Linked DNA regions of Oryctolagus cuniculus. The protein of the gene in region 1 interacts with the protein of each later gene in a biochemical or structural test. Links are inferred from orthologs where the notes say so. Each region holds a gene or a part of one and is shown in the gene's direction. Other genes may lie near its edges. The genes, in order: BCL2 and NR4A1.

Region 1 (4,424 bases):
CCTACCGCGCCGCGGCCGCGCCACCCACCGGCCGGGCCCCGCGGGCGGCCGGCCCGGGCGCGCCCTCCCCAGCCGCGGCCCCGCGCGCCATGTGTGCCCGGCGGGCCCCGGCCGGCCGCGGCGCCTTTAACCGGGGAAGGGGAGCGGGGCGGAGGGGGGGGCCGTCGGGCGGCTCAGAGGAGGGCTCTTTCTTTCTTCTTTTTTTGAATGAACAGTGACGTACGTACAGGAAACCAGTCGGTTTGTGAGGAGAATGAAGTCAGCGGCCAGGCCCCCGCCCGCCCCCTTCCTCCCCGCCCCCGCCCCTCCTCCGCGCGCCGCGCGCCCGCCCGCCGGCCCGCCCGCCCGCCGCTCCCGGGGTCCCCGCCGCGCCGCCGCCGCCGCCCGCGAAGGTGCCCGGGCGCCGGGCCCCCCGCCAGCGGCCGTCAGAGCGCGGAGCTGCCGCACGGCGCGACCGGAGGAGGCGGCGGCCGCCGCCGCCAGCGCCCCGGCGCGGGAGCGGGCGGAGCAGAAAGGGTGCGCAGCCCGGAGGCGGGTGCGCCGGCGGGTGCAGCGGAAGAGGGGTCCAGGGGGGCGAACTTCGTAGCAGTCATCCTTTTTAGGAAAAAGAGGGAAAAAAAAAATAAAACCCTCCCCCGCTCCCCACCCTGGCCGCACCACACACGGCGCGGGCTCCTCGCGAGGCCGGCGCGTCCTGCCTTCATTGATCCGCAGCTTTTCGGAAAACGCGTCGGCTGCTCTCGGAGTTGAATCAGAAGAGGACCCCGCGCCGGCCGGGCCCCGTCGGCGTCCGGGGCAGAGTCCGCGCCGTGCCCGCGCGGCGCGCGCGCCTGTCAGTGGCCGAGGGGAGCCCGGACGGAGCGCGCTCCGGAGCTCGGGGCCGGATTCCTGCGGATTGACGTTTCTGAGGAGCAGAAACCCGGGGGCCAGCCTGGAGACCCCCCCGCCCCGGGGTGCCTACACCCGCGCCCGCCGCCTCCCGATTCATTCGGAAGTTTCCAAGCGGCTCTCACCCGGGAGCTCCGAAGATTGATGGGATCCTTGCCTTATGCGTTTGTTTTGGTTTTGCAGAGAAGGAAACTGGACAGAGGGTCATGCTGTCCTTTAAAAACACAAGTAAGTTCTTTGCGCAGCAGATCGGGCTCGCGTAACTTTCGGTGGCGGCACTCGAGATGCTAACTCGGAGTGCCTTCGAGTAAATGTGAATTTTCAGGCAGTTGAATGCGTTGTTTTTAGCCGTGTGGCCCGCAGCGTGCATGCCCCCGCTTTCTCTCCGTGTGTGCCGGAGAACGCACCTGAGTTTGGCTTAACCAGGTTTTGTTTTTGTTTGTTTGCCTTTTTTTTTTTTCCAACCTTCTAGCATCACGTAGGGAAAAGACTGGCGTTCACCACGCTTATGAATGATAACGTGCCTCGTGAAACAGAGATCCGAAAGGGATTTGAGTAAAAATCTCCTGCGCCTGCTGCCAACGGGGAAACACCAGAAGCGAGGGCTCCGCGTGACTGAAGACACCCCCGCGCCCGAGGATGCGGCGCGCGCCCGGGAACCCCGCCGGCTTCTGAGCGGGCCCGTGCGGCGGGACGCGGCCGGAGGCACCGCGGGCGCCCAAGGGCAGCATGGCGCACGCCGGGCGAACAGGGTACGACAACCGGGAGATCGTGATGAAGTACATCCACTATAAGCTGTCCCAGAGGGGCTACGAGTGGGACGCTGGGGACGCGGGCGCCGCCTCCGCGCCGGGCGTCTTCTCCTCCCAGCCCGCGCCCGCTGCGCCCCGGGACCCGGCCGCCAGGACCTCGCCGCCGCCGCCGCCGGCCGCCGCGGGGCCCGCGCTCAGCCCGGTGCCACCTGTGGTCCACCTGACCCTCCGCCAGGCGGGCGACGACTTCTCCCGGCGCTACCGCCGCGACTTCGCGGAGATGTCCAGCCAGCTGCACCTGACGCCCTTCACCGCGAGGGGGCGCTTTGCCACGGTGGTGGAGGAGCTCTTCAGGGATGGGGTGAACTGGGGGAGGATTGTGGCCTTCTTTGAGTTCGGTGGGGTCATGTGTGTGGAGAGCGTCAACCGGGAGATGTCGCCCCTGGTGGACAACATCGCCCTGTGGATGACTGAGTACCTGAACCGGCACCTGCACACCTGGATCCAGGATAATGGAGGCTGGGTAGGTGCCTGTCTGGTTGCACGTGAGTCTGGGCTTGCGGTCGCAGGTCCGAGATGCCGTGGCGAGGGTGTGGGTGGACCCCGGGGGCCGGGGCAGACTGCAGAGCCCGTGAGCTAACAGCAGGTGTGTCACTTTCCCTGCTTTCCCTCCAGCGCGCCCTGCAGGAAGCGCACCCTGCCCTCCCAGCTAGGGCAACTGCTTCCCGCCAAAAGTGGTGTGCCAGCCCTGGAGGCTCCCAGATGCTGCCTTTGCGGCCCAGTAGGATTTTGTGATGCATGGTCCTGCCTTCCCGTGCTTCTCAAACTGGGGCTGCGGAGTCCCCAGCACCACAGTTACGTGGCCTGGGTAGTTGAAATCGCAGGTTTCAGGGACTTGGTGTGGACCAGACACACCGCGCATCCCACGACCACCACCACCCCAGGGCGAGGCCCTGGCAGTCTGCATCCTAAACAGGCTCCCCTGGTGGATTTGTCTTTGTCCTAAAAGTTGTAAGCCACCCCATCGAAGAACAGACTCCCCCAGAGGACCAAGAACATGTTTGCCTCACTGGGTAAAAACTGCCCCAGAGGAAGCCCAGTGTAACCCCTTTCCCTGAAGGTCTTAGCTGTGTTTGTGAAGAGGTAAGTGGACGTAGGGAGAGCCGGGGGAGTGTTCACCTGCTGGTCGGGCCGTGACCCAGTGGACACGATGGTGTGCATTGAAGGGCAGCAGTCTGTGGATGCGCTGCGTCCTCTTGTCAGTGATGGGGTTTGGATTGGCTGCAGACTTTGTGTGCTGTCCCTTGTGTCGCATTTAGAAGTTTCCTGGAGTTTTACCATCTCTTACATTTTACCACCTAGACGCCACATGATTTTGTGGTCTCTGCTTACATACACCACACACACTCACAGAGAAACTTGCACCTAGGGAAACTATGTAAAGCGTAGAAGAATTGATCTTTAGCTGTGGATTCTTTCATGCGCTGACCAGGGTTGAAGTGATGAGCAGCTGTGACTTTTAAGAACCTTGGTAAGACGCTTTTTCTCCCGCTCCGGGGCGGTTGCTAGATAGAGCTTCGATCCTGTTCACCACGCAGTTGTATTTTTCCATGATGCTCTGGGACTGGGGTGCGGATCCCAAGACTCAACGGTGCTTAATTAAGATTTCCATCTCTTACCTAAAAGGATTAATTTATGAGAAAGTAATCATTCTTGTCTGGAGTTTTGTTAAACTTTGTTTTTAGTCTGAAGAGTTATCTTGGAAGAAGGATGCATTTCTGTGAGCTCTTCTATAGTCTCTTAGGAGAATGACTCACATTATAGAACCTAATGGGATCCAAAAGCCTAGACGTGACTGCAAGAAGCACATTTCTTCATTTTTGCTCCATTTTTCAAAGTATGCTAATATTAAGGGGCCAAAAAGAGACGGGGCCAAGAAATGTAGGTGATTGATGTGGACATCTGATATTATTTGACCAAAGTTGACAAAATATTGATGCCACTGTTCAATGTTTGAATGTAAAATTAACTAAAATATCCCAATTTAAATCTCTAAAATTTAATGACTCTTTATGGATTGTTTGTTGAAATCCCACATTATCAGGTCTTTAGTGATTCTGGAGTAATTTGCTAAAGGATGAAAAGAATATTTTTGTTAAGTGTTTAGTTAAGCAGCTGGTTTGATTTTTAATCACCATAACCAAAGAGGAAGGGACTTGTAGACTCCGCAAGGATCATTCTAAAACCAAAGTAAAACTGATTTAATAGGTCTCCTGGTTCCTATTTTTCATAAAAAAAAAAAAGAAATCCATATTAAAAAAAAAGTTCTGTCTAGTTGAAAGAAATCCATGGTGGAAACCGCCATGTATCAAGCAAGTTAATAAAGTGGTAGGAAACAGACACATGTTTATGATGGAGATTAAGATAGAACCTTGATGTTTGTTGTTGAGCTGCAGTATGTTAATGTCTCATACAACTGAGGTTTCCTTTTAAATGAGGGCTCACTTTTTCTTCCTTTCACAATAGAGTTTTCGTTGTAGAGCCTATCTTTGTGGTCAACAGGTATCTGAGGTCGATAAATGCACAAGCTACATTTTATGATGCCAAACCACAATGACATTCTGTAGCACATGATAAAAATTTTTTGACAAAACCTCTTACAGTAAAAATAAATCATATAGAAGCACAAATGGCTGATGGTAAAATGTGTAATAGTTTTCAGAGCAACACGTAGATGGATGACTACAGGAAAACAAAGGAATTTGGCAACAAAAAAGAGTATAA
Region 2 (3,799 bases), on another chromosome or scaffold:
GGAGCCTATTTTTAGATCAAACAATCCGCGCTCCCTGCGTCAATGGAACCCCGCGTGCGTCACGCGCGCAGACATTCCAGGCCCCCCCTTCGCCCCGCCCCCTCGGGCTCCCCGGGCCCGCGCCTCCCCCTGGCCGCCTCCCGCCGGAACCGCGCCGCCCCCCGCGCCCTTGTATGGCCAAACCTCGCCGGGCCGCGTGCGTCAGTGGCGCCCCCGCCCCTCCCCGTGCGTCACGGAGCGCTTAAGAGGAGGGTCTGGCGCTCCCGGGGAGCCCGAGTGGCAGAGGCTGCGAAAGTTAGGGGAGCGTGCAGAAGGGACCGCGAGAGCACACGCGGGACCGAGTCTGCGACTCGGGCCGAGGGTCCCGGGCAGGGCGAGCTGGAGCCGGCCGGGTAGGTGCCCCCCCGCGGGTAAAGTGCATCTGTTTTCTGGGCTGGTGCACGGGGTTGGGGGATGAGACGGGGGTACGCGCGGGCAGAAAGGCGCGCAGGGGCGCCCAGGGCTAGCTGTTGGAGCGGGGTGAGGACTCAGCAGCTCCGGCTGGAATCTACGGGGCGGGAGGAGAGGGGCTGTAGAACATGCAAGGTGGAAGCCACAGGCGTCGGAGTGCCTCTTAGAGCGGGGACTTGTCCAGCAGGCGACGGGCCTGAGTTCTGTCTCCGAGGAGACCCAAGTGGGCATACGGTGCTTTCGGCTTGGGCGCTGATGGGCATCTAGCTATAGGCGGTTAAGGTATCCAGAGCTTCGGTGCTACGGGTGATGGGCCCTGCAGGGGGTCGGCGGACTCCAGCCTGTCAGCCCTGTGCTCCTGCGGGCTCAGTTGCAGGGGGCTGCGTTAGGAGGTCTCTTAACCAGGGAGACTACTAGCTTGGTGGCTGGGCAGTGGAGGGTGCTTGTGCCTGCTGCGTGTTGGAATAAGTGAGTTTGCTTAGGGACAGGGGGGCAGGGTGTCTGCAAGATTGTTTTAACTGTGGCTTGGAGTGAGAATGTGTGTGTGTATTTGTGAGAGACAGAGTGGACATGCTTGTTCTGGGGGATCCTGCATGGAAGTTAGTAGCCTTGGAGTTTTGGTGTGGTGCTACCTGGGGGACCCTCCCCTCCTCCCAGGTCTACTTCCTGATCGCCTCTGCACCCCCTCTCCCAGTAGTCCCGGTTGGATCTTACAGGCAGGGTGCAGCCTGAGGCTTGCTTCGTCTAACAGGTGCAAACCATATTGTTGCCAAAACCTGCCTGAAGCCGGATTCTCCCCGCTCCCTCCCGCCTTCAACCCCACCTCTTCCTCCTTGCCGTGGGACTGCCCTCCCCTGCCCCTGCCCCCCCCCCCCAATCGGGAGGCTAGATGTGAGTCGTATCTTGTGTTCAGTACCTGCATGAAGGTGTGTATGTGTGTGTATCGGGGGGGGGGGGTTGGTGGGGGTTGATCCGGATGTGGGACGTCCCAGTGGAGAAACAGGATTTGAATAAGGCTGGAACAAACGCCCAGTTCTGCGTGGCTGCTGCCTTTCCTCCTCCACCCCCAACCCATCCCTGCCCAGGCTGTCCCGGGAAGGCAAACGTGGCCACACTTATCGGGCAGGTGCTGTATTTTTGTGGATGGGTGCCACTGGGTGGATAGAACTTGAGCTTCGAGGGGCTCTGCTGCCTGGGTTGGTTGTCTGAGTGTCAGGCTGGGGTGGAGCTGACTTGGTCAGGTCCTGGGAGGTAGAAGAAAGGCTAGGACCAGCAGCCTTCCTGGGCTGGTGGCCAGGGGGTGGGGACAGCCTCTGCCCTCATCGCTGTCCCGTTGATTATGGTACTCTGTGTTCTGGCTTGATTTCCTACCCAGTTTTGCCTCTCTGCCTGGTGAGCACAGAGGTGGGCACATCCCAGGCACGGTGGTGGAGACGGAGAGGGTCCTGGAGCCTATTGGGATTGCTTTGTGACTGCTCTGTGGGTCAGGCTGTTCAGGATTGGGGGGTGCGTGACCCCCTTTGCCTGCCTGCTAAGGGCACAGACTTTAATGGGGCGAACCCAGGCAGAAGGCATTTTCCCTTTACCCATCCGCCCACAGGCTCCCCCACCTTAAGTCTCCCACTGGACTCTTAGCAATTCTTAGTCAAATAGCCAGGGAGAGCAGAGAAATTCCTCATAGGGACTGCCCTTGCTTCTGGACCTGCAGAGGGCTGTGCCTGCTCCTGCCGGCTCCCCCTCCCTTGAACATATGGCCTTAAAGGGCTGGGAGCCAGGTTACGTGATCCCCTCGGGACATGGCGAGGAGGCCTGGGCGCCCTTCCTCACTGCCTCTGGGAGCATCCCAGGCAGTCCAGAGCGCATGCCCAGCCCCAGACGGCAGGCAGGACTGGGGTGCCTGTGGGCTCGGCTGCCTGTGCTCCGTACGTGGGACGGGGTGCGGATGGCTCCAGAGCGGCATCTATACCCGGGCTCCCTCCTTAGGCAGCCCTGCCTTCCATCTGGCTCCTCTGCCATTGCCAGAGTGTCCTTGTCCCCCAGCCCCGGGAGGCAGGGGCTTCTGCAGAGGCTGGGGTGTGCCTGCGAATGTTCCCCAGGAAGTGCCTGGTTGGTGAAGAGCAGCAACAGATCTGCTCTGGGGGTGCTGGGCTGGGGCTTTGCCAGGCTGCCCCTCCCACCCACCCTTCTCCCAGCCCGCACCCACGCTCTTCCCTGCTTGGGGAGGGGCAGGGGGCTGGGAACACAGCTCCCCCTGTTGCAGCAGAAAAACGCTGGCTGTGTGCCTCGCCCGGGGTTCCCAGGCCGGCTGGGTGTGGCTGGCCTTCCCACAGATCCCACTCTTCGCTGGGCCACTGCCCGGGGTCTTTGTGGCTAGAGTTGGACGTGGGGCCCCAGCCAGGGGGTCCAGGATCCTGGGCACTGTGGCCTCCTGCCTCAGTGTCCCTTCCTTGGGCTGCGACGCTGGCCAGGCCAGCTGCCTGGCTGCTCTGGGCTCAGCCTTCCGGGCCTGGCTTGGCTCACGGAAGTCCTTCCCCTCTCCTCTTTGTCCAGAGATGCCCTGTATCCAAGCCCAGTATGGGACTCCGGTGCCCAGCCCAGGACCGCGTGACCACCTGGCAAGCGACCCCCTGAGCCCCGAGCTCAGCAAGCCCACCATGGACCTGGCCAGCCCAGAGGCGGCCCCTGCAGCCCCCACTGCCCTGCCCAGCTTCAGCACCTTCATGGACAGCTACACAGGGGAGTTTGACACCTTCCTCTACCAGCTGCCGGGAACAGCTCAGCCGTGCTCCTCGGCCTCCTCCTCGGCCTCCTCCACGTCCTCGTCCTCGGCCACCTCCCCCGCCTCTGCCTCCTTCAAGTTCGAGGACTTCCAAGTGTACGGCTGCTACCCTGGCCCCCTGAGTGGCCCCCTCGATGATGCCCTGTCCAGCGGCTCCGACCACTACGGCAGCCCCTGCTCAGCCCCGTCGCCAAACACGCCCAGCTTCCAGGCACCCCAGCTCTCTCCCTGGGACAGCTCCTTTGGCCACTTCTCCCCCAGCCAGACTTACGACGGCCTGCGGGCATGGACAGAGCAGCTGCCCAAGGCTGCCGGGCCCCCACCAACCTTCTTTTCCTTCAGCCCCCCGACGGGTCCCAGCCCCGGCCTGGGCCAGAGTTCCCTGAAGTTGTTCCCGTCGCCATCGCAGGCCACCCCCCAGCTCGGGGAGGGAGAGGGCTACTCTGTGCCAGCGGCGGCTTTCCCGGGCCTGGTACCCACCTCCCCACACCTCGACGGCTCGGGGATGCTGGACGCGCCAGCGACCTCAGCCAAGGCCCGGAGTGGGGCTCCAGGTGGCAGCGAGGGCCG

What was found.
Region 2: the proteins of BCL2 (region 1) and NR4A1 form a complex in vitro, tested with the Homo sapiens proteins (2 studies listed by BioGRID). The link is inferred for Oryctolagus cuniculus from reciprocal best matches to the Homo sapiens genes BCL2 and NR4A1.

The regions. Positions count from the first base shown.
Region 1 is NC_091441.1:15,291,159-15,295,582, forward strand, and holds the start of BCL2 (apoptosis regulator Bcl-2), read left to right. Parts: upstream 1-1,480; 5' UTR 1,481-1,617; coding exon 1,618-2,163; intron 2,164-4,424. UniProt on the Homo sapiens protein: Suppresses apoptosis in a variety of cell systems including factor-dependent lymphohematopoietic and neural cells. Regulates cell death by controlling the mitochondrial membrane permeability. Appears to function in a feedback loop system with caspases.
Region 2 is NC_091442.1:55,366,749-55,370,547, forward strand, and holds part of NR4A1 (nuclear receptor subfamily 4immunitygroup A member 1), read left to right. Parts: intron 1-138; exon of another isoform or gene 139-392; intron 393-3,000; coding exon 3,001-3,799. UniProt on the Homo sapiens protein: Orphan nuclear receptor. Binds the NGFI-B response element (NBRE) 5'-AAAGGTCA-3'. Binds 9-cis-retinoic acid outside of its ligand-binding (NR LBD) domain.